Linked DNA regions of Caenorhabditis elegans. The protein of the gene in region 1 interacts with the protein of each later gene in a pairwise test. Each region holds a gene or a part of one and is shown in the gene's direction. Other genes may lie near its edges.

Evidence for each region. The genes of interacting proteins can lie anywhere in the genome.
Region 2: the proteins of jmjd-3.2 (region 1) and ceh-18 interact in a two-hybrid assay, tested with the Caenorhabditis elegans proteins (one large-scale study listed by BioGRID).
Region 3: the proteins of jmjd-3.2 (region 1) and nhr-17 interact in a two-hybrid assay, tested with the Caenorhabditis elegans proteins (one large-scale study listed by BioGRID).

The regions. Positions count from the first base shown.
Region 1 is NC_003284.9:14,444,694-14,454,580, forward strand, and holds jmjd-3.2 (JmjC domain-containing protein), read left to right. Parts: upstream 1-3,516; 5' UTR 3,517-3,536; coding exon 3,537-3,648; intron 3,649-4,211; coding exon 4,212-4,451; intron 4,452-4,637; coding exon 4,638-5,128; intron 5,129-5,763; coding exon 5,764-6,469; intron 6,470-6,914; coding exon 6,915-7,102; intron 7,103-7,148; coding exon 7,149-7,741; intron 7,742-7,797; coding exon 7,798-7,989; intron 7,990-8,613; coding exon 8,614-8,695; 3' UTR 8,696-8,874; downstream 8,875-9,887. Other genes in the region: F23D12.4 (F-box domain-containing protein), read left to right, coding at 309-424, 879-1,431; F23D12.7 (Neuropeptide-Like Protein), read right to left, coding at 8,913-8,962, 9,010-9,139.
Region 2 is NC_003284.9:3,853,200-3,860,307, reverse strand, and holds the start of ceh-18 (Homeobox protein ceh-18), read left to right. Parts: upstream 1-2,510; 5' UTR 2,511-2,564; coding exon 2,565-2,610; intron 2,611-3,941; exon of another isoform or gene 3,942-3,942; coding exon 3,943-4,088; intron 4,089-5,876; exon of another isoform or gene 5,877-6,085; intron 6,086-7,108. UniProt on the Caenorhabditis elegans protein: Directs gonadal sheath cell differentiation and function. Also directs gonad migration and plays a role in specifying the differentiated phenotypes of epidermal cells during postembryonic development.
Region 3 is NC_003284.9:12,661,739-12,670,302, reverse strand, and holds nhr-17 (Nuclear Hormone Receptor family), read left to right. Parts: upstream 1-2,448; 5' UTR 2,449-2,450; coding exon 2,451-2,532; intron 2,533-2,580; coding exon 2,581-2,681; intron 2,682-2,858; coding exon 2,859-3,088; intron 3,089-3,739; coding exon 3,740-3,839; intron 3,840-3,980; coding exon 3,981-4,076; intron 4,077-4,132; coding exon 4,133-4,269; intron 4,270-4,318; coding exon 4,319-4,488; intron 4,489-4,979; exon of another isoform or gene 4,980-5,079; intron 5,080-5,552; coding exon 5,553-5,710; intron 5,711-5,944; coding exon 5,945-6,061; 3' UTR 6,062-6,466; downstream 6,467-8,564. Other genes in the region: nlp-76 (Neuropeptide-Like Protein), read left to right, coding at 6,701-6,722, 7,361-7,512, 7,614-7,688.

The DNA.
Region 1 (9,887 bases):
TTTAACTATTTCCTTCACTTTTCTCACTTCGTTACTTCAGCTTTATAAGTGAAATCCCAAAAAATTAAAAGAAGTAAATTCAAACCAAAAACCAATTTTTAAAAATTTTTTAAGTCTTCATTTTCAAATCTCACCAACTTTCACTGCCTTTCACCAATTTTAACGTTTCTCTATTTTCCTTTATAACATACTCAACTAAATGTTATTTTTTGAACTCTGTATGTAATGTTGCCTTGTATTAACTACCATTTTCTTTAATTTCTCACTAACTGTCTTCTAATGTCATAATTTACCTATTTATTTTCAGAATGAAGAAGGGTTTGACAAAAGTTGCATCGAAGAAAACCGAGAAACCGTTTCTGCTTGAAGAGTTGCCTTCATTGCCACTCGGTGATATTGTGAAACAATTGCCAATGTTCGAGCTGTAAGTGTTTATTATCGAACAAATACGATCGCACAATGTTCTCATAATTTATTTTTGATCTACCTTGTTGACTAGGCTCATTCCCTTCCTTTGACAAGACAGCCACAACAAAATAACAACGGCAACAAGATTGGGGGCGGGGTCAAGTTCAGCAGGTAGATCAAATATACATTATGAGAAGTTTGTGCGATCGTATTTTTACAATAATAATATAACATTTTAAGTAGTTGTTTGTTTGATTTCCTAGAAGTTTATCTTGAACTCTGAACAACTAGTACATTAATTTGATTGAAAACTCTCAATATAGAGAATACAACCAAGTTTTTAAATTAAATCGCATATCGCACTTCACCATAAATCTGAAAGCGACTTGGGAGCAAGCTACCCAGGTCGCTCTCTCAATATGTCCTGCCTTCGCAAGCTTAAATTCAATTCAAATACGGTTCATTTTTAGCGTGAAACTGGCGTTACTATCTCAAAAAGCAAAGAGATGGGTATTGGAGCACTCGCGTCGACATCTTGTTCAATTGACTGTCAATCTCGGAGAAACGTTCATCATCAAAATCGGATATGACGGAGAAGCAACCAACGAGATTGTGAACATAAAACTGGATGATATGCCTCCAAAGAGGGTGTATAGAACTAGGAGCTCAACGAGACTGCCAATGAATTTATTGAAAATTGACCCCATTTTCCCATCATGCTGCGCCAAAAACACCTATGGAACTCGAGTCGAAACAGTGAAGTATTTGATTAAATACTTTTCAAAGACGTTCAAGATGATCTCGATGGAACTCACCTTTGATAAGCAGCCCGACGCTGTGATTCTTGATATCATCAACCTTGTGAATCATTTGAAAATCAAAATGGATACTCTGGCAGTTGCTGGAAAGAACAACAGCGACGAAGTGTTCAAGTGCATCATTGATGAAGTTAGCCGAGTTTCGTCTCTTCAAATCTGGGGATTCCCAAATGGCGAAAGACTGTTGGGCTTGAATGATGATTAAAATTTTCTGAACTTGAATAACTTTTGATAATTTTTTGTTTCTAATTATAAGGTCAAATGTTAAGCCTCAGTAATAAATCCATGTATTTCTTTCCTCTTCCATCTGTTTTTTTTTCGTATTCCTCACTTTCGCTTTTCCCATTTTTAGATATCCTATAAATTATCAAAAAAAGTTCAACTAATAAAATATTGTCCATAATTACGTCTACTTGTATTTAACTGTTTAAGTTGCTTACCAGTGTCATGACAAGAAATACAGCGGCCGACATCTCGTGAGCCCGTTTTTGACAACTTTTACTGATTCGGCCGTATCTCGAAAACTAATTTTTTTCTGGAAATGTTTTTGAAGAAAAATAATCTTCATACTACTTGCCATCATTTGTGCCTACTCACTTTGTTTTGAAAAATTCAGCAAAAAAGTTATGGAAGTGCAAACTAGTCCCTCACTTGGCACTGCTCATGCTGTACAACCAAAAATCAGGTTACTTACTTCGAATATATTTTTTTCGAGCATTTTTTAATAATTACAAATGTAAAATCACAATTAAACTTTATTTAAACACGATATCAAAATTCAGGGAAAAAAAATTCTTCACTTGCGAGAAATGCTCTAGTTGTAGTCGTACACTATTCAAGTTTAATCTATCATAACTTTTTTGCTGAATTTTTCAGAACAACGTGAGAAGACACACATGATGGCAAGTAATATGAAGATTATTTTACTTTGCCAACACTTACAGAAAAAAAAGTTTTCGAGATACCGGCAAATCAGTAAAAGTTGTCAAAAACGGGCTCACGAGATGTCGGCCGCTGTATTTCTTGTCATGACACTGGTAAACAACTTAAACAACTGAATACAAGTAGACGTAATTATGGACAAAATTTCTTGAGTTGAATTTTTTTCGATAGCATGTCCAGTTTTTAAGTTGTGCTCGTTTGAAAAACTTGTAAATTTATCAAAAATCGAAAATTGGATAGAATTATGGCCGGCACTGTATGTAAGACCTTCAAAACGTGCTCCTCTAATCCGTTGCTGTTCGGTACTCTTGTTACGTGTTAAGTTGGGACAAGTTTCCTAGCTACTCATAGTTTGTCTGCACTCTCCTAGTGACGAGAAAAAGATGAAAAGATAATCTCTCAAGGAAAAGCAGATTAATCAACAAAGCGCAGCAGAACTTTCAAATTCATTTTAGTTAATAAGTATACGATTTCCGGTGACCGAATATATGTAGTTGGTTTGTGTTGTATTTTGAATTCTGGTATATAAAATATAAGTAATAATATATAAGTAACCGTTTGAAATTGGAAAATTTTTTCGACGCAAACTTTGCCAGTGATATGTTCAATGAAACATGCTAGTTTGAAAAAATTAAGCATACAAGCACATTCCTATAAATAATTTGGTGGCCACCTTCTGTTATGTTTTATCAAAAATTAGACCTCCCGGCTATTTTGTTACAATCGAGCAGACACCCCCCCCCCCCCCCCCCCACGACACCTGTTCTCTTTGAGCACTCCATAACGTGGGAAGGCACATCTTGCGTCATATGTGACCCGACAGTCTCCTACAAAAATATGGGAAACGGGGCAGATTGAGTGATGATGTAACTTGTTCTGCGCAGTCTTCTCTGCCTGTTCTCGACCTTTTTGCGAGGATTGGCTCCAACATACGTTTTGCACCACTTCTCGATGTTTTTTAGTTTGTTTTTCAAAATTAACATATAGTTTTTCATCAATTTTAGACAAAACTAATTCATTCAATTAATTTTAACATGAAATGAAATATTCAGAACTTAACTTTAGTTGTTTTAGAATAATAGGGTATGCATTGTTAAAATTACAAAAAGTGAGATTTATATCCAAGTCTTTAAATTTTATTGTATTGCAGTTTTGGGATTATTTTAGATTTTTATTAGGAAATGCATGCAATTTTTGCAATTATTGATAGATGTACAGTTTTTAGTGTGTGTGTGTTTTTTGTTAATTTCGAGGATTAATAGAAGAAAAATCCTCTTTAAAATTTGAGTTCACACTTTTTTCCACTAGCAATATTAATTTTGAATATTTTGATCACGAGCAATAATTTTTTCAGGATTTTTTCAAAAGATGGATAGCGGTGGCCAAGGTTCAGGTTCACAAGACCAATTCGAAAAAACAGAACAACTCGTTGATGCACAATATCCAGTTCCGACAACATTGAAGCCAGATTTTTTCACAGGTGAACATTTTAATTTTGTGTTAATAACACGATCATACAATAAAAAAGGTTTGTAAACTGACAGGAGACGGAATTTTCATATCGAGAAATTAAAAAAATCCTTTTTTTCAATGTAAAAAATCTATATTTGAAATTGATTTTCATATGACTAGTTTTTTTTTCAAGCGAAGCATTATATTATTCTTTATATACATTTAAAGGTGGAGTACTGCCAGTGGAGAAATTGTTAAAAACCACTCGTTTGGTCACAAAATGACCAAATATCATGATAAAACTTTTCAAAAATTTTTGAAAATTTATTATTTACTGTCAAAAAGTGGCAATTACTCAGTTTTTGCCACTCATAATTTTCGAAGTCGACCAAAAAAACAATTTTTTCGACATTTTTTATGTTCTAATTTTGTTTAAATTATTTTTATTAAAATATTGTAGGGGTCGCAACATGCGGCATTTCTTTAAATTTCCTCAAAAGCTAGTAGATTCTCCAATTGTCAGCACAAATGATTCTGAACCAATTAATGAACAAGTTTATTCAACACAAAGTAATCATGGCGAGCTTCAAGATAAAACCGAGATTGATGAAAGAAATCGAGTGGATCAGTGCTTCGATAATGATCAACCATTTAACGGAAACAATTCAAAACTGTTAGAATCCGAGTCTCATAAACTGGGAGAGTCGTCAACTGAACCTTCAGGAACAACAATATCATCAGGAAATTATGAAATTGCTGAAGACTGCTCGGATGAGACAGAGCAATTCATCGATCCAGACAATCAAGTTCCAGCAGCAAATTTTATTACCAGTAAGCTTAAGATTTCTTTGAAAAATGTGCTCATTCAAACATTTTCTTCATGCAACTTTTTTAGTAACTTTTTCGGATGGGAACTGAAAATTATAAAACTGTGTTGCGTGTTTGCAGAGATTTTAAATATTGGGCTAATTTTTTTCTAAACAAAATGTTTTTTGAATTAATCGTTTTCATTTTCAGACGACTGCACAACAATTGAACAAACTGCAAAAATTCAAGAAGAAAGCGGAACAGATTCTTTGATTGTCAGCACAAATGATTCTGGTTCAACTAATGAACAGATTTTGCCAACACAGAGCAATGATGCTGACTTTCGTGAAAGAATTGAAATTGACGGAAGAGATCAAGTGGATCAGCATGGCAACAGTTATCCACCAATTAGTGGGAACAACTCAAAATTGAGAAAATCAGAGTCTCATGAACAGGGAGAATTTTTAGTTGGACCTTCAAGGAAAAGAAAGCCAGAAACACTAATTGAAACAAAGAGTAAGAAAAGAAAATCGGCGAGAGGAAGACCATCTAATAAGTTGAATCAATTTCAAATACATCAAGTTAGTAGTGACTGGAACGCGAACGCATTTCTTCAGTTTGCTCGACGAGACGCAGCTGGTACGATTCTAGAGTCGGAAGAAGCGAAAAAAACCATCGATGCACAGTTGGAACACTTTTCGGTATGTTGTTTCAATTAATATTAAAAAAAAAAAGAAATAGCACTTTAATAGTGTTGTAAACCTACTGACCCTACTGATAATGAACATGAAATTTCAATATAAACGAAATGTGGCTCAATTTTAAAATATAACGTTTAAATGTCAAACGCTATGTCAAACTTAAGTTATAATCAAAAAATTATTTTTTTTCCAGAAATTTCCTAATTCTTTTGGAATCGCATTAAAGATAGGAACAATTTAATAACTTTTTAATAATTTTCTAAATGTTAGAAAAATAAATAAATGAATTAAACTATTATACACACTACCAAGTATGCTCGTTGATATCATAAATTTTTACATATGCATTGTAAACATAAAACAAAGACCAATTTGAAAAGTTCAAATTTTAACACAGAACTTAATAGGGAGTTTTTTAAAACTATGTATAAAATGCGATCGGTGCGATCGGAAAAAAGTTGAACGTACTATTTTATAGCAGACATTTTGAGCTCGCATAATTGATAATTGTTTTCAGCGAAAAACTCAAACTTTCAGGTCAAAATTTTTTGTCTAAGACAGGACGTTGTAGGACGTTGTCAAAGCAAATTACAAATTATGTATATGCTTTTAACAAAACTTTAAAATATTTGCAGGAGCCCTCGTGCTCGACGGATGTTTCGGTTCATGTTGTCAGAGACAACGAGAATCTGGGCTTGGTGACAAACAAACTCCGATCGCTAGCCATTCCACCAATATCCAACCTTCCCAGTGATCTGCCTTCATTATATAAACTCCCGAAACTGTTTCTAACCGGAGCGACTTTTATGGACGTCTCAAAATCAAAAGGAAAACAAGTTATTACGAAAGCAAGCAAATGGATCAAATCTGGCAAAAATCTCGTATACGAAACATCTGGCTGTTCTGAACTATTTGATGAAACAACAAAATTCAACACTGATGGAAAGATTGAAGAAAACACAAGTGAAGAATACACAAATAAAGATCAATACAGGTTACCTGTTCCTATCTATAATATTGAGAACAACAGCGATGAAACATCAAATTTTATTAAAAATATCGTCAATACCACAACCATGTGCATCTTTCGAGGAATCGAAGAAGCATTTGGGATGGATCGCCAAACGTTTGACATCTCCACATTGGCACCTCTCTACCCCGATTACCCATTGAAAATTCGTCGACAGATGCCCCAGTCATCAGCAACCAATTTCTACATGAATGACAAAAATACCGTGCAGAGATTGGGAAATGCCTGGGCTGTCTTCGATTTTGAAGGAGTTACTCAGTTGAGAGATTTTGCGAAGAATTATGAAAGCCTTAAGGATATAGGAAGGTCAGGTACGTTTTTGAACTGTTTTTTTTTAATTCTTATTTAGCGAAAGATATTTGAGTTTTATAAGAAAATAAGTATCTTATAAAACCCAATTTCAAAATTTTTAAAGATTGGTCTAAAATTCCAGTCAGCTTTGAAAACCAAATTAGCGAAAACTTTTCAAAAGATTTCCAGGAGTTTTGAGCAAAATAAAGCAACGTCGCAACCATTTGAACCTCAATGGCATCCCAATGAAAATATTTGAAAAATATTTAGATTTTGAAATTCGTATAAAAAAAAGCACTTACTTCATTGTCGACCTTTAAATTATGGGTAATCAGAACTGAGTTCTCGCCAATTTTTGACTCTTAATCAACCCACTTGGGAACTTTTTTGATAAGTTTTAATAAAAACTAGAGAACTTCCAAAGTTTATAAAAATCATTAAATTTGTTCACCTTTCATTTTTCAGCTTACCAAGCTATCCTACGCAATCCTTCCGCATTTTCGGAAGTAATGGATGACATGAAGAAGCAAATCAAGGAAAATACGATCCCACTCAGTCCTGAACACAAACTTACAGTCCATGAAAATGCGACAGTGTTGGCATTTGGAACTAATATTGATCTGGATGATCAGCGATTCAAGGAACAGCTCGATGTATGTCGTTTAAAGTTAACGGTAGATAAATAATCATTATTTTCAGGAGATCAAAAAATTGCCTGATTGTTTGAGACCCGACGGAGCCGGGAATCTTCTCAACTTTGCTCAAGAGTCACTTGCAGGTCTGAACAAACCTCAAGTTTATTGCAAGCCTCCCGGAGCAAGAACCACAGCTCACCTGGAGAACCAAGCTCTCGGGTCCATTAACATTAATCATGGACCAGGTGATTGTGTTTGGTACGGAGTGCCCATGGAGTACAGTGGCAGAATGGAGGTGCTGATCAAAAAGCATCGACTTAATGTTTATAAAAGCGGGTACTGGCCAAGTGAGCAGGAATTAAGAAATGAAAAGATACCATCGCAAAAGTTTCTACAAAAGCCTGGAGACATGGTGTACGTCGGTATTGGAACATTTCATTGGGTGCAATCTAATGATTTTGCAATAAACGTCTCCTGGAATGTTGCACAACCAACTTTTAATCAACTGGCTGCTGCAATGGTCATTCACGATCACAACATCTCGAGTAAAGCAACTACTCTCATGCCTATTGAGCCAATTGTCTGGAAAATGGCTGAAGATGGAGTGGAGGCAGAGGATGAGAATATTTTCCTGGCTCGAAAGGCTATAATGCTAAAGTACGGTTTCGTCACAGAATCATAATACTAGATAACTAATTAATTCAAAATTACAGAAGTTTGGCAAAAAGCCAGTTTGAGTTCGATTTCGCCATTCAGGAAAATATGCTCATCAGATCAGCAAAAAACGAGAAATCGATCATCCCTGTTGAGCGATGCTCTATCCAAAAATGCCGGGAAGTTCTGTTCAATATGATCACACTTGACAATAAGCAAAATCCATTCTGCCTTAATTGCATAGTTAAAGGGTGAGTTGCATTTTGTGAAGAGTGATAACTGATAAATGCGGAAGAAGGGATGTATTGTTTACTCATCATAGAAAATTTTTTTGTATTTTTTTTTTCGAATTATCATTTTTTTATTGCATTTATCGGTCGTTTATCCAACGTTTTTTCGTTGAATAACGTATATTCAAACCCGATGGAAGGCCATTTTTTGGTGATTTTTGGTTAACTATCTTGAGATTATCTACCAAAACATGCAATTAAAAAACAAAAGCTCAAAAAAGTCAAATTTGTGACCGTTGCGTCACGGAAAAATCTCCCAAATTAGAGAATTTTTCGTACGAAATTTGTTTATTTGAGTGCATTTTAAGTATATATGTTCAAACATGTAGACCACTTTTATTTTGGTTAAAAAAGTAAAAAACACACGAATAGCAAGATAAAAATAGTTTAATTGGTGTCAAAGTGTCGCATTTTGGTTTCTTCGGGAAATGCGAGAGAAGAGACGGAGATTTTTCAGCTGATTTCGCATGGCTATACGTGTGCTGACGTTACATTTTTCTGGAAGAGAAATTCCCGCATTTTTGTAGATAAAACCGCAATGAAACAGCCTGACACCACGTAATAATCTAATATTTAATTTTCCAGAAAAGTCAAAGCAACAGCATTTCAAAGGCGGGACATTGCTGACTTGGTGAAGATATTTGACGAGTTTAAATGGGTGTCCTGAAACTTTTCTTTTTTTCAACTTTCGATCCTCAATTTTCACAGCTTTCTTTTGTATTATACAATTCTTGCACATTTTGAATCACTTATCGTTTTATTGATCTTGTTTTGATTTTTTATTATGCAACATTTTTCGATATGATCAATTCTGTTTAATAAAGTCCAACTTACTAATTATAAAAAAAATTTATTCTTACATACAAAAAAGAAATCGAAAATGTTTAGTTGCATGGGTTGACAGATGGACGTGCTGTGGCCATTGGCATATTATCTGAAAATAGGAGTTTTTGATTTTGTATGCAATTATTTTGAAATTACTGAAATCCTCTGGGTCTTGTGGGTAGCGAAAATCTTCAGCGTTATCAATATTTGGAATTGGTGCGGACAGAGAGATCCCAACGAGCAAAACCATGAAGAGAGTCAAGAAAGACAGTAGGAAACGAAACATTTTCTGAAAGATGAGATTGGGTTAGGAAAAAAAGAAACACGAGGAGTTCGGTGAAGAAAAATCAGACAATGACGAAAAGATGTTTTCAATGTTATCACACAAAATGTTGAGGTTGAAGCAACTGCGGCGGCAGTTGTCAATTTTCCCGGTGACATGTAAATAAAAGAGTTGGTGAATCATACAATTTGATTTCTAGAGAAACGATTGAAAATATATTCTGTTTAGAAACCTGACTTAAAATCAAAACCTGAGTTAAAATCATGTTAAAAATAAGTATACAATTAGGAAAAGAAAAACAGGTACATATATCTCTCCAATAATAACCGTCAAACTACAGAGGTTTTGAGTGTATTTTCCCTTCTCGCCGTTTTTGTGGTTCAGGGCAACGGCCAGAGCAGTGATGCAACTGTGCTTCTGTGCTGCTCCATATACTTCAGTTGCTGATCAATCCCAAAATTTTCTCATATTGCTCTTCTATTGACTACTTCTAAAAATTGAAAAAAATTAAAAATAAATCATATTCTCTGTCAGTCTTGCACCCATTTGAGAACTTCTGTAATTTAACGTTTGAGAAAATAAAACTATTTTTTTGTTCCGAGCTTAGTGCGCTCAACGGCTTGTAACTGCAACAAGACTTTAACCAAAAGCATCGGTTTTTTTTTCTGGAAAATCTATAATTAAAACCTTCAAGAATTGTCATGAATTTTCTACTTGTTTTCAACTCTCGCAAAACTGCAACATATGCATG
Region 2 (7,108 bases), about 11 Mb from region 1:
TAGTTCAGAGCACCAGTTATTTTTTGACTTTTGCAAAAATTATCAATTGAAATTGTTGATCATTTATTTATCTATATTATGCTGTTTGAAAATGTTGTGAAATATTTGAAATAGGCCGCAATTTAAGCTATTAGAAGAGCTTAGCCAGGCTTCGGAAAATTTGTATTTCATACTATTCATCAAATCATATACTCTTTTTAAGATTGTCCTAATTTTTATTGTATTAAAAAATCTCAATTCTTGCAAATCCATCTGCTTCAAAACTTCCAAAAATTTCAAAAACTGTTTTAAATAATTTCTAATTTTATACAAATTTTGATAGCTATTTTAAATTCAATCAATTCTCAAATAAATCGAATGATATTTCAAACCTCACCAGTTGAATTATATTAAAAGTTTAATGTTGTGATGAAGAGAACTGTGAATGTGAAAATTACATTTCACATCAACACGAGTGTACGATAGAAATGTACAGTTTTTTCCCTTTTAAATGCTCATTTTCAACGCAACTCGCTCTTTGCCAACTCAATCTCGAAATGTCAACTTTTACTTTTGGCCGCACATTGTTAGCACGGTGAATAGTCAAATGAGAGTCCATTTAGTCATGCCCCCCCCCACGCTTTCCACGCGCCCCTTCATTTTTCTCCGCCATTCACCAACTTTTTTATTCATTTTTCCTTGGGACCATGCAACGACTACATACATGTCCACCACGACTTCATTGTGATTATTCATAGAGCCATTTGGCTTTTTGGGGGGAGCCGGCCAAACGGCATTCTTTCGCTTGCATAGGCAAATGTCGTATATCCAGAGTGTCAGCAGGGCAGGAGCAGCGCTAGAAGCACCGTCGTTTCAAATCGACGCCATCTAATATGCATATTTGAACAACTGCGCGGTTTTGCCCACAGATCTGGCCGCCGCAATGCCTTTTTGCCTTTTACTGGCTAAACATGAATCCGACCAGTGCGATCATCCACATTTCCTCGTTTTACAGTACAGCTGAAAACAAAAAAAGATAATGGAGCTTTTGAAGGAATGGGGACTTTGTAGGAAAAGATAATAGATAATCAAGAGAAGTACATCACGTTTCGAATTGCCTCAACTTTAGGGCTCATGTGTCAATGCTCATTTCGTTAAGCTGATGACCTCTCGATATCGCATCTGTTTCTCCATGTTTCATTCATACTACTACCTATTCTCCGTCTTATCCCTTTTTCCTTCCCAATTCTTTGTCTCTTTCTTGCCAAACAGAACAACACCTCCCGAATCAACATTTTATCCCCCCACAATCAATCACTCAATAAAATCCATCAAAAATCTTTTGATAATCAAAAATGCCTCGGTGCCTGACTGCCGAACAAGCCGGCGGGGCGTCGTCTTTTTTGTTAGCAGTTGTGTTGTCTGTCATCCTACGTAATTTTGTGAAGACTCGAATTCATGAGCCAAGTGGTGCTCAAAAGACTAGGTAATGAATGTGTAGTGTAATGGCCGGGAAGAGTGAGCCTCATACACAAGATATCATATCATCTTATCTCCAAGATGTATTTCGAAGAATCTTTTTTGAATATTTCACATTCTCCATTTTTACAGAGCTAACTGTTTTTTCAGCTTCAACTAGAAATTTTCTCAACAGTGAGAATGCAAATACTTTCAGAAAATGATGTGTAAGTGACAAACATAGGCACTCTCGGAGCTACAGAACCAATTTCTCTTCTTATCATATGCAAATTTGGCGTTTTTTAATACTCTAATGTGTTATTCAAAGCTTATCAGTCAAATTTTCTTTATGATCTCATACAGTTCGGCAACATCGAAGTTTAAATTTCAAATTAGGACGCGATAGATTTTACCCTAGTTTCGTTCCTAGATATTAGAATAACTTAGATAATAGAAGAAAAGTGATGCGAAAAACAGGGACTCGAAAATTGTTTTAAACAAAGTGTCCTATGCGAAATTCACTTCATTTCTTTTATTTTTCTCTTCCTCTCCCACATTTTTCGTCGAGAGCTATCATAACAAGAAGAGCTGAACGCGATGCAGCAGTAGCCGCAGAAAAATCAGATCGAATCATTAGGCGCATGCGACAATTGGCTGAAAAATACTGAGACACAAGTCGCACTAGAACGCTTGGCTGTCAGCTAGTTAGGTGCCGCTCGGCTTTTCCTCCCCACCCCGAGAGTGGTTGATTTTATGCCAATATTACAACTTCTAGGGTGGCTCATTTTCCTGAATCGCCGATGCGATCACCCTCGTCGGCAATGAGTGGCCCCCACGCGTTTCGCTTGATCCATGCCGCCGATTTGCTCACATGAAACACATTCTTCATTTTCTTTTCTCAATTGACGGAATATTACATTTTGTTTATCTCGATTCTCTTTTCTCAGTCAATCTTTTCTGATTCGTCATACCTTCATTCACCTTCCAGCTTATACAGTTTCGATTTATTTTTAATTTTCATCTATCAAAACCACATTCTCTGTCGGTCTTATCCAACAGTGTCTCTGTTTCAGACGTAAAAAGTCTCTATCATCATCCTCACAACACATATCATCAATGCAAGAAATATGAACACCTTGGAGAACACGTTTCAATTTCTCGCAGAAGTATTCGGTAGGTGATGCTTTATCAATATCCGTTTCTTTTTCTAATTGTCGACTCTTCGGAGTCTGGTCACAAATCAAGCGCGTTGCTGTAATAATTCATTTTGACTGATTTTCGTGAAAAGCTAATGACAACGGTATGTTATAGGCGATGATTGTCTACCTGGACGCAACAATTTTTTAAAAATGTTGGTCAGATGCTCTTTTTTTGCAGTTTTAAAATCCAAATTCACTTGTGTAAAAAAAAAAAAAAATTAGGCGTTTTTCAAAAATTGTATGGGTTTTTTGATGAAAAAGTGAAACTTTTTGCACTTTTGAGCAAAACAGTTTTGTTGGGTTTTTTCTTGTTTTTTGAGCCTGAAAATGAAATATATGTACATTAAGAAACTAATTCATGTGTATACTAAAATCGAAATGGTATGTATAAAATAATTAAATATTTTTTGGAGTAGCAAACTCAAAATTATCAACTTTAGTTTTAACAACTCCAGAAATAACTTTTGAGAAAATAAGGGTCAAAAGTTTTTTTGAATTTTTGAATGCATTTTTCTGTATAGAAAATTGTCAGAAATTCAAAAAATTATAATACTTGCAAAACATTAAAATAAATTTTGGATACTCGATATGAAATCACTTCAGACAAAAATTAATTTCCAATGTTACGCTACCAGCTTTTCAAAAAAATTGTAAAAATTTAAAGTTTGACGGTAAACATTTTCCAAAACTCATTTACACTTAAAAAGCGGTTTCATAGCGCTAAAAATTTTACAGTAAACATTTTGAAAGAATTTTCAATTTTTTTACAGTCAAAGAGTGGTTAAAATTTAGTTTTGACCTAACATTTTGAAAACATGTATGTAAGTGTAGCAATGCTCAAATGTTTTTCTTGAATTTTCACCAAAATAATTATGGAGTGTTCTATTTTGATATTCGGCCATCTTAGAGTATTATAAAAATTGTTAGAATGAGTTATTTGACAATTACATTCACTGAAACGTTGATCAGTTATTAAATACTGTAAGTTGATTTGTAGAACAATGTACACAAAATAAGTAACTCCAAATTATCAATTAAAAGTTTATCATTTCATTGAAAAATCACAGTAGTGAAAGTACTATCAAAACTTGATCTATTGATCACCGTTCCGTGTGTCCTTATTTTCGCGTTCCACTACTTACACAGATTAACTCAAGTTCAGCGTCGTTGATGTTAGCTTTCGAAAAAAAAAACTTCTGCGCGAATTTGATTGGCATCGTGAAAATGAGATAACATGTTCTGATTGCTCAAAAAAGGAACTTTTCTGACTAGATGCTGCTCCATATTTCTTGTGCACATTTTTCAGAAGCCAATGGTGGTTGCCTTGTCACAGAACGTGTCAGTCCATCTTTGTCGGGAGCCAGCAAACGAAAAAGTCGACCGGTGAAGAGGATCATCACTGAAGACGAAGTAATCCCAGAAGAAGAAGTGGTCGAAGAAGAGGAAGAAGAGGTGAGTCTTTTGAAAACAAACTGCTTTCCAATTGGCTTTTAAAGTTACCTTTTTTCTCAAATACGTTTTTATTTGCAATCAGTGAAAAAAAAAATTTAAGCTGTTTCATAAAACTTTATATATACTAAAATGATTAAAAAAGCTATGAAAATAGTTATAAAATACCACACATCTAAATTAGTCAGTAATGTTTTTCCACTCTCATCGGACCCAAAATCAGACCTTTCCAATTCAACTCGGCCATCCCAGCCCATCGCATCCATTTGCTTTCTCAAGATGAAGCAGTGCAATGAAAGTGTGGGATAATGCAATAAAGGGGTGGCTAAAAAGGAAAAGAGATGCGGGTATCGAGATAAGCAGATTCGGGAGTTGGCCCTTGTTTATGATGTAGGACAAAACTAAAAGTAGGCAGAGGAGAAAGCCGAGCCGCGTCGTTCTGTGTTTTCAACTTTTCATATTGGTCCTTTTTTTAGGCGAAATCTTGGGAAATTTAGTGATTCGTCAAGATAAAAATTTTAATTTAAACTGTTAATTTACTGTTCTGGGCATGATCCTATTTTTTATCTTTAATCATCTTATTAGGGAAAAAACAATTTTTAGTTTTTAGTGCAAAATTCCAAACGAACCAGTTTGTTGCCTGTCTCAAAAATTACATTTTCAAATATGGATAAAAATTTAAACCATCGTCTTATTTAAAAAGTATTTTTTTAATTTATTTTTTAACATAGATTTTTACTGTTATTGTTAATGTGTACATATTATTTTATTTTACTCTTCTGTATCTAGAAATTCTGCATAGTTAATTTTAAGAAAGGGCTCGAAACAGTAAGATTAACATTTTTGAATAAATGTTCTAAATTTTATTTATTAGAACTTTTAATGTCTATTTTCATGACCGTTTCATAAAGAAATAACTAAAAAAATATCGTAAAAATAACTTTAGAAATTGATTCAACTAGATATTCCTTATCATTTTTGACCGAAAAGATATTTGGAAAAAACAGTATTGAGATGACGGTCGCTAACTATTTTCAGCGACTGCCACTGTATATAAACTGCTTCACTTTTTATACATACCTTTTTAGCACAAAAGTGTATTTTCTAATTACTAAAATTTGTTAAATTTCAAGCCTTTTCTTCTCACGTTTTCCAACTTTTCCCACGCTGTAAAAATTTTTTGTTTCGTAGTATTTTAATTTTGGATTAAGGTTCAGTCAGGTCATTTTATCATTTTTTTTTAATTAAAAAACAAAATTTTTGAATGTATTTTCAGTTCTTTTTTCCTTTACTTTTGTAATTAATTTTCATAACTTCTATATTCACATTGAAATTGTATCAAACTACAGCAGCTCTGAACATTTTTGAGCATCCTCAATTTTTTTTCAAAATTAGAGACCTCTGGAAATAAAGAAAGTAGGTTGGCTGACCCAATCATGCTGCAGCATTTTTCAATAAGTATCATGACCCGTCGGTCGCTGAGTAATTGAATAAGTAATGAGCATCGTCGTTTTGGTCCTGAAAATGGAGTCGACGACGACGACGACAAAAAGATGAGATCTTCCTTTACGGAACGAAAACGCCGGCGGTCCGTGCTTCGCGTGTGTATGGGTATGAGAGAAACGACCCCACTGAATGACTCGAGTTTTCGACGAGCACTTCCAGATTTGCTTGTTTTTCACATCGTTCCATTTCTATTCCCCTTAGTTTTTCGTTTCTTTTTTTTCAATTGCCTCAGATTTATACATAGCTGGAACGAGAGGAGAAATATTTTTTGGCGTGTGCCATTCTACGCCCGTCCACCCATTTGGAACGCTTCTTCTTCTTTTTTCCCCCATTTGGTCCCCTTCTCAATGTTTTTTCTGTGACGACTGGTAGCACCCACTCGGGCAGAGATTCCACTCCATCCGTTTGCCGATGCAACATTTGTTGCATACATAAAACGGGGAAAAAGCCGGGGGAAAGCAGCGGCGAAAAAAAAACGCGGGAGGGAATTTGAAAAGTGAGAAGCTGCAAGTGTAGTAGGTCGTTTCTGTTTCTCATTGGGACCATCAAACGACTTCTCTTTTGTTTTCGCAACGACCCCCTCCTCATCTCTCCTCTCGATTTCATTTTCCCTTTTTTTGTAACACTATTTTCCCAGGTCCGGTCATTTGTCTGTTTTTCTATATCTCTTGCTCCCCTTTTCCCTCTTTCTCTCTCTGATCCTTGACTACCACAGCTGTTCATTATAAAAAGGTTCTGATAACGATCAGTGGTCAATAATGATATAAAGTGTGTATGAACAATTGCTCTAACTTGCCCAAAATGGTCCCAAATAGAGAATTTTCGTAGTGACGCGTCTGGAATTTTTCTGAAAACAGGGCTAAGCTCTCCAATTTTGCAATTTTTCGTCACAGCGGCCGGAAATTAATTTTTATTCGATTTCACCTCTGCATACTTTGGCAGTTGAGTTTTTTGTGTTGAATTAGGTAAATTTTCAGTCGATAAGTGCACAAACTTTAGCAATTTTAGCCCTTTTAATCAACATCCTGCAAACAACTAATTTCAGGTTCAGGTTTTTGAAAAGTATACAAATTGAAGTTTTTGAAAAAAAAGTGAACTTCTTATTTTAGGTAACCTGAATTCAATTCAGTTAAATTCAATTTAATATTTTGAAAACTCATTTCAAGACCTTTAATTTTAATTATTGAAAACCAAGTTTGCACTTGCATTCTGAACTTGGAAATCGGAGGTGTTTAAAGTAAAAGCTCCCTGAAACCCAGAATTTAAAGCTTCCAAGTATTTGATTAACATCCTCTGGTATTCAACAATTTCAGAAAATTGAAATTTTCTAAGAGCGCAATCACTTACTTAAAATTCTAAATCAGTTGGTTAACCCTATTTTGCATGATTTTAATAACCATACATGCAAAATTAAAATGTGCACGGGATTGCAAAACTTGATTGATAAAACTTCCTGATATTGTAAGCGAACTCTCCCAACTTATGAAAAAAAAATATTATTTGCAAAATTATCTTAT
Region 3 (8,564 bases), 1.8 Mb from region 1:
AGATGAAAAAAGGGAGGATACGGGATTATTGTGAAAGTAACCTTTTACATATGTATGAGTGCATAATCTATGTGTTGCCATAGAAGCCCAAAAAAGTTTTTATTAAGAGAAAAGCTTAACGGCACATAGAGTTGCATAATTAGACTGGTGACCGTCTTCAAAGTACTCACAAACATCATTGACCTGACCTTATACGACAAGACATCTTCACAGTTTCACAAAACCGACCGGGTTCTTTTGATTTTCGATTCGTGTTCCTGATCTCTTTTAAAGACCAGAGCAGAAAAGTTGTGTTTTGTAGGTTGTGTTCAAAATAGGTAATTTACAATTGTTCGATATTTTTCCCCAAGTGTTTTTCCTTTAGAGAAACAGAAACGAATTTGTGTTTGTTATTGAGTCTATGATTTCTCAATGAAAAAAATTGTCCGTTATATCTCTGTTATTGAACAATCATTTACTATATATAAAGCGCTTATTCCGTTTGTCCATAGTTTGTAGTCTATGTAGTCTTTGTAGTCTGTGAAGTTTTGGCTTCTGTGGGGATAGTGAGTTGGGGTTAGTGTAGGGATATAGTACTGTAGTGGTACAATAGTGGTACGGTAGGAATACTGTAGGGTTACGGTAGTTTCAGAAAAATTAGTTTTGAGCCCCAGAAGTCGGGGGCCGCGCCGGAGGTGCGGTCCACGGCTGGTTTAATAATATACCCAAACGATGATACGCTCGATTGTATATTTTTCTAGTATTGAAATATGATTCAGAAAATAAAATTAATTTTATAAGCTGTTAGTTTCTCATCGTAATCACTAATATGTTATTATAATCATAAATACTAAATATTAATGATATGATTCATCTAGATTTTGTAAACATGTATTTCTCATAACTATGCATTTATTTGATTATCTAAAGAAGCTTAGATTTAGTGATGTTTCTATAAAATCTCCCTATATTTTAAAGCTGACAAATAATGTAAATTACTTCGATTTTCTAATCAAATATTACAATACATTGCAGTGTTTAAAAACAATTGGAAAAACAAAGAAGAGAATTTCCACTATTTTGTTCTCACATTATCAATAAATTATTCAAAGAAACTTAACCAAAATCCGATAAAATCTGCTCGCTTATTCTAGAAATTGGTTCTTACGTGGAATTGTGCTAATGTGCTCATTGATGTTTGAGGGTTTCCAAGAAATCACAGGATATTATTTTGCAAGGCTCTTTCTATTTAACTATTTTTCACTTTATAGTATACTCAAAGGTCATACCACAGAATAAGACTAGACATGTATAAAGAGATCTGAGAATTGTGAGAAAACGTATTATGCTAATTTTAAAAATAAAGATATTTCAAAAAATAAATGCGGTTATTTTTGTTTTCAGACGATAGTTGCATAACACTTTGAAACATAAATATATAGGAGCTTCATAAAATTTCCGGAAAATTTTTTATGTATGGTTTTTCTATTATTATGAAGATTTCGGCATTTGAAAGTTATTTCTTTAGATTGTTTATGATGGTTTGCGTTCTACACTGACACTGTATATATAATACCTTTGCATTACCATCAATAAACCCATCATACGCTCTCGTGTTGGAATACTGTTGTTTGAACTTTTATTTCCACAGATCGGACATATTATTAATGACCATGAGTTGCGAACTATAAACGATTTATTATTTTTCACTGCTTCATTAAATCATCTCTTGGTTCTTTTTTCCAAGATCTAAACGTTTTTGATCAGTTTGAATGTTTTCAGACTAATAAACATGTTTAACTCTATACTTATGACATACAACGTTTGAATAATTGTAAACTTATAACTGTCTACCAACCGATAAAATCGACACTAGTTATTTTCTCTACATTTGTCTCCAATTTTGTTAAATTGAAAATAAATTAAAAGTTCGAAATTTCTTTTTATCTTTCTTTCTCTTTGTCGCTATCATGATCAACAACTATTTATATGGTCATGCGCAGTCTGCGTGTCTCCTGATACACTATTTCTAGAATGGTCTTTTTGTTTTGAAACATTCAAATGATTCCAGGAGGTTGGCCTCTTGTGATTTAGGCAGGTGCATTATTTTGTGATTGTAGGTTCTAGAAAAATAGTGAAGTGTTATAAAAGCCTCCGTGTGAGAAGCTGAACTTTGAGAGAATAACCTTGTGTATATTTTGTTATTAATCGGATCATCTTCATTCAAATTAGATCCCAATTCTCATTACTTACTACGATGAATGAAATGCATTTCTAAAGTATATTTAATCTATTCATCTTCTTCTTGGGAGCATTTTAATCTTATTTCATGAAAACTACGCCCATTGCAAAACTTTATGAGTTTTAGTTTTCTCTCGATTGAGATTAACATTTGATATTTTATGCACTCATTTTTTTCTTCTTTTGCCCGTTTCTATGTAAAAACTCCAATTCATTATTTCATTTCAGTAATGCTAGCCTATGAAGGCCCGCTAGCAGAAACCAATTACTCACGTCAAAAAGCAAAGGAAATGGCCAAGAAATTCATACCAGGTGTGTTTCTGAAAATGATTTCCAATGAAAAACTGCAAAATGTTTCAGGTGAACTGTGCAGTGTTTGTGGTGACGTAGCATCTGGAATTCACTACTCGGTGGCCGCTTGCAACGGGTGCAAAACGTTTTTTCGTAGAGTCGTTTTAGAGGTAAGAGAAAATTGACGGTAAACAAATTCATAAACAAATTTCAAATGTTATATTTTTCATCTGCAAGTTGGTTTTCAAATAAAAAATAGAAACTGCTACAAATATTATTTCCAAGTTTCACAATTTTTTTCAAATTTCACAAACCTTTTCAAAATTATGATTGAGTAATAATTTCAGAATCGAACGTATTCCTGTAAAAATAATGGAGACTGTATAATTGACAAATCAATGCGATGCTCTTGCCGACATTGTCGTTACAAAAAATGCATAATTGCCGGAATGGATCGCGGAGAATTGAGCATGGAACGACGACGGAAACGAAAAAAGTTGAACGGATTAGAAGGATCCGAAGAAAGCTGGGAAACTGAGGATGCTCTTATCAATTTGTTGTTGTATAAAGAAACTTTGTAAGTTTTAAGCTTTCTAAAAATTGATATCTAGTAAATAGAACATGTTTTCCATATAGGATAAAAAGCAAAGTTCACGCAAAATAGAGACTAACAATTTTCACGTTCGACACACACACACTAAAGAAAGTGCAAATATGGCTACGTGCGAAAAGCAAAACTTTCATTGCCAAGGTCTCTGAGCATTATTGAAAGATTTTGGAAAAAAACAACTAATTGTCCAAGAAGTATCCGTGTTAAAATATTAAAATGTGTGTTAGTTTTGAAAACACAAGCTATTTTTTAGTACAAAGAGTTTAAGTCAAAAACGTTTAATGATAATGAGAAAAAAAATGGGACAAGAATATTTTCAAATTTTTGAAAAATGGTATTTTTTGTTCCCAAAATTTTGATATTCCTAAAAGTGTTTATGTCAATAATGTTTCGACGGTCTCATCAAATACAACTAGGCGGAAGGTTGGTCTCAGAATAACCGCTCTAAAAAAATTGTGTCTGTTAACACATAGTATGTTTCACCCACATCTTGGCTCACAAATTTGCAGGACCTCTCACTAAAATCTATAACATTTCGTGTTAAATTTAAATTCTAAATTGCACAATGTACATTCTAAATGTTAGTATTCATTGAAAATGTTGAAAATTAATTTTCAGATACCAAAAGCTACTGCTCTCCTCCGCAATGATGATACACACTTCTCTGCGGGAAGCGTTGGACATGACACAAATTGCATTCAATGATGAAAACCATACAGTATGTAATTTTTAATAAAATACGCATAACAATTGAAAGAAAATGTATTTATTCATCGAAACCTTTATTTTTATGAAACAAAGGAAAATTAATTGAGACTGCATAACATTCGAAAAAATGAATAAAGATAATCAATTTCAGTATGATGAGCGAATGGATCCAAAATACCCAACAAACTTTTCTTATTGGCGAGCAAAAATTTTAACTGTTCTTGTCGAATGGGCAAAATCGTTTGAGGTATGTTTTGAAAAAAAAACACGCATAGACGTTTCTAACTGAAACTTTATTTTCAGGTATTCAGTCATTTAATACCGGAAGATCAAAAACGACTCTTCATCCACACGGCGTTTTCTAATTTAGTCTTAGCAGAAGCATTTCACACTCCAGAAAAATACAACGATCGGATAGTGTTTCCAGATGGACTCTGTGGGTATGAATTGATCAGTTGTGTTTACATGTTTCAAAATTTATCTTATCAGATTTCGAAACGTTGCTCAATCAGTTTCCACGGATGGTGTTTCGAACAAAACGTTTGGATTGACGCCGACCGTGGTTGCCGTAATAAATGACGTTCTCGTTCCAATAAGAAGAATGCGACTAACAAAAGTTGAATATGTTTTGCTGCAAGCAATTATTTTCTTCGATCCTGGTTAGTGCAGTTTTGAAATTTCTCAAAACTATGTAGTGCTTTCAAACACACAAATTGGCCCTTTTAAGAGAAACAAATACAACAAAACAAATACAACAAAAAATAGTTCAAAACTTCGCCTTCCAGTTTTCACATTGAACTGAACTGTTAAATCTTAAATATACTTGATTTCCCTAATTGTATTTTAGTGTGCTGAAAACTAGTTGGAAGTGTTATATGCTGGAGTAAAAGTAGAAAAACGTTTCATTATTTTAATGTTTGAAAGCAGAAAAAACTCCCATGTCTTTTTTTCAAAAATGTTTTTCTTCAGTAAGTTAGCATATTCAGAATACATTTCTGAAAATTAAGTATGTAGCTTTCCTACACATGTTTTTGAAAAACAGTTTATATTGAAAGCAGTTAAATGCTTATAAGGTCAATTCCATAATTGAAAAATTGAAACTTTACTTGATAGGACAAAGATCTGTGTCAATTAACGTCTTGCACAAAATAATAAAAAGAAATCCGTCGAACCGGATTCGAACCAGTGACCTAAGGATACCTGCTGACTCTACAGTCCTCCGCTCTACCAACTGAGCTATCGACGGCACGAGGAAGCAGGAGAGCGACAGCGGTTATATAGAGGACATTCTCGCTTTCACTCTCGCTTCTCTGCCCCTATGTCTATTTAGTAGACGCAGAGTTTTGCCACATGTATTCTCTGCGTTTTCAAATTGCTCATGCTTTGGGTTGGCAAATAAAGTTATGCACATGTTTATGAATTTTAGGAGAAATTTGCCCAGGTGGCATGACAAATCTTATTGCGAAAGGTTACTTAACTAGATTTCACGGAAGTTTGATTAAGTTAAAAATTATCCCACATATATCTAATACAAATGTATTGATAAGTACGAAAATAGAAACACAGCACATCATTTTTTTAAACGAAAATGAAAAAAAAAAAAAGTTACGGAATATAAATTAAGGTTCATAAGTGACGTGATTCAGTGTTACGTAAACTATGTGTATTTGTTTCCAAAATGATTTTTTAAACAGAACCGTATAACAAATTTCTCAATTTTCAGATTGTCTTTCCCTGACAAAACACGGCTCCCAACTCATTGCTGCCAAACGCAAGCGACTTCTGGATTCCCTTCAAAAATGGCTTCATCAACAAACGAAAGACTCAATTGAAGCGTCCACCAGATTTGCGGAAATCCTCCTCAGAATCTGTAATGTACAGGTGAGAATATTCTGCCCCATTGTTCTTCAAAATTCGTAATAAAAACAAAACGAAATGAAGCTAAAAGAGAAAAACAAAAATCTTAACTTTACAAAAATTCATTGTGACTCGTCCTACACAATTCGACGCTCACTTGACTGATTTTGAGGCAAAATTTAATTTTTAAGAATTTAATAATGAGAAGGAAAAATTGAATTGCAGGACCTTTCACTAAAAAACCGAGTTTTATTTCAGAAAGTGGCGGCATTCAAACGAGAAACACTGTGCACAATTGAGACATTCGAATTGATGCAGCCACATCCGTTCACCATGGAAATTTCTAAAAGTTATCCCGACTTTTCATATTTCTGAAAATTTACATATTTATGATGCAACTTACAACCAGCTTCTAGTCACTTTAAGCTGATTTCTAGACAATAGTCATTGCAACCCTACAGTAGATACTATAAATGTTTTTATTTCCCCTTTCCACTACCTCATGTTAGTTTTTATAATCACTATGCTCACGTGTCAAGAAACTTTCGGAACGTTTCGATTCGATTTTTAATCCGTTGGTGCGAAATTCATGTTCTCCCATTACTCCTTTCGTTTCTTTTTTGATCATTTTTGCGCGGGTATGTTTTCCTTCTAAACGTTCCTAATTTCATCGAATCAATGTTTTAATTGTTCAGTATATAGACGATATGTTGCCAAACCAGTACCCCCATACCTATTTCGTCTTCTAGCACTTTCTCATATCAGTATAAAGCTGAGAGTCTTGTGATAAACGACACAATTCAATAAAGACAAGGGTTTCCACAGCAGCGCGCACGTTTCCGCGCTAATTCGATTCACAGGTCGTCAATACTACCGTAGTGAATGACGAGCAATGCTGAAATTTGATTATTATTACACTGGAACTGAGAAAATTGGTAAATAGGCGGAGCTTGCATGGCTCGGCCCACCTTTTGGAGCCGAGCTTGGTCATTCGACATTTGAGCTGTCAGCAAGATGAGCCGAAAATTTCTTCTTGGTAAGTCCTTCAATTAAAATCTTGTTCAGAAATAGTTTTTTTTTGGAATATTTGGAACTTGTAACATTTTTTGCAAACAAGTACAATTTGTCAATTTCCGTACGTTTCCTATTCTAGTAAATTATATCGACAGATTCCTAATTAAACCAAGACCCTGAAAAATGTATCGTCATACATAACATCTATTTTTAAAAGTGCCGAGCCAATCTCCAGATCTTTCGTTTAGGTTATCTTTTTTTTGTTGCACAATTCAAAACAATTTTAGGTTAAAAATTACCCAGTCAAAGTTTAGATTTACTTCGGCAACGATGTAGCGCGCTCAATTTCCCATCGCTCAAAATCTCACTTTTTCACTTATAGAAGTCTTTATCCGGACTTCATTGCGTTTTTCGGTCTTACATTTTATGTATATTCTTACTAATAAGTTGATTGATACAGTTGAACACAATAATCTCACAAGTGATAGTCTAACTTTAATTGGCTCAAACATATGAGATATTTCCATTTTAGTTAAACCTTATGAAACACTACTTTGTGAATCAAATGCCAATGGGGTTCCATGAATACCCTAGCTCAGGGATGATATCTATTTAAACTCACATATACAACAGTAGTCTACCATTGCTCCAAAATTTCAGTGTTCATCGCAATCTGCGTGCTCTCCCAAAACGCTATGGCCCTCCGTGGTGCACTATTCCGTTCTGGACGTAGCCTCATACACCGTCAAAGTCAAAACGAAGAGGCCGTTCTCAACCAACCACATCTTTTGCCCGCCGAAAAACGTTCCCCGGTTAGTGTTCTTTTTCGTTTTTATTTTAATGCTAAAATTGTAATTGACGGTTTCCAAATTGGATAGCCAACCAAAGGTTAGATGATGTGTATCTTTTTCAGATCGTTGAGCTGTATCCCGTGGTTGACTCTGGCAATGTAGAACCTGAAGCGTTCCCCGCTTACTTCCGGTTCTAAAAAAAAACAATATAAAAACAAAGAGATCGTGGTCGAATCGACTGACATAGTGCTACATTTCTGATATTTTGATAATTATGATTTATTTCTTTTGTATTTTGCATAAAGATCGTGCATAAAGAATAAACGGTTGTGAGAAGTTGTGCGACTTGGAACATGACTAGAATGCACGATAGGAAAATAAGATTTTATGTTCAATCTCATAATTCCTTTCAGAATATTTAACAAAAAACTCATACCTAAACACAAATCTGTGCGAAATCGCAATCTGTTGTTTGACCTCTAAACTCAAAAATGGTACATCTGTAAGAAATTATAAATATACTCCGACGCGGACTGTACCACCACAATTTATGCAGTAAAAAGCAGAATGTGTAATCATTGTCAAAAAATGTATTCCAAATTGAAAAAATCAGTGGGATCTACTGGAAAAATTAAAAATATTCACAACGGAAACACACGGCGTAAAAAAAACCAAAAGCGTCACACAGTATTTTTCTGTTTAGAAAACTCAACGCTTATACGTTTTTTAAAAATTATACGGCTTATAAATTTTCAATTAGCGATAGAAAATTTTTGTAGCTTTTATCGGCTATTTTCTGTCTTTCATTGTGTCTTAAGAATTGGAAATAAAAATAATATTTAATTTGGCTTGAATTATTCGGTGTTTGAAAATTGAGCTGTGCAATCTTTGGTCATTTTCCGGGAAGGCACGAATTTTGCAAAACAAACGTTGTTCTAATTGCATAAAATCAATTTTTGACATCCCAGTATCCATATTTTATGAAAATAAAACATAGCAAAAACTTTGTTTGGTAATATATTCAGAAAACGTGGAACAAATGGGACAACATGGAAATCTCCACAAATTCAATA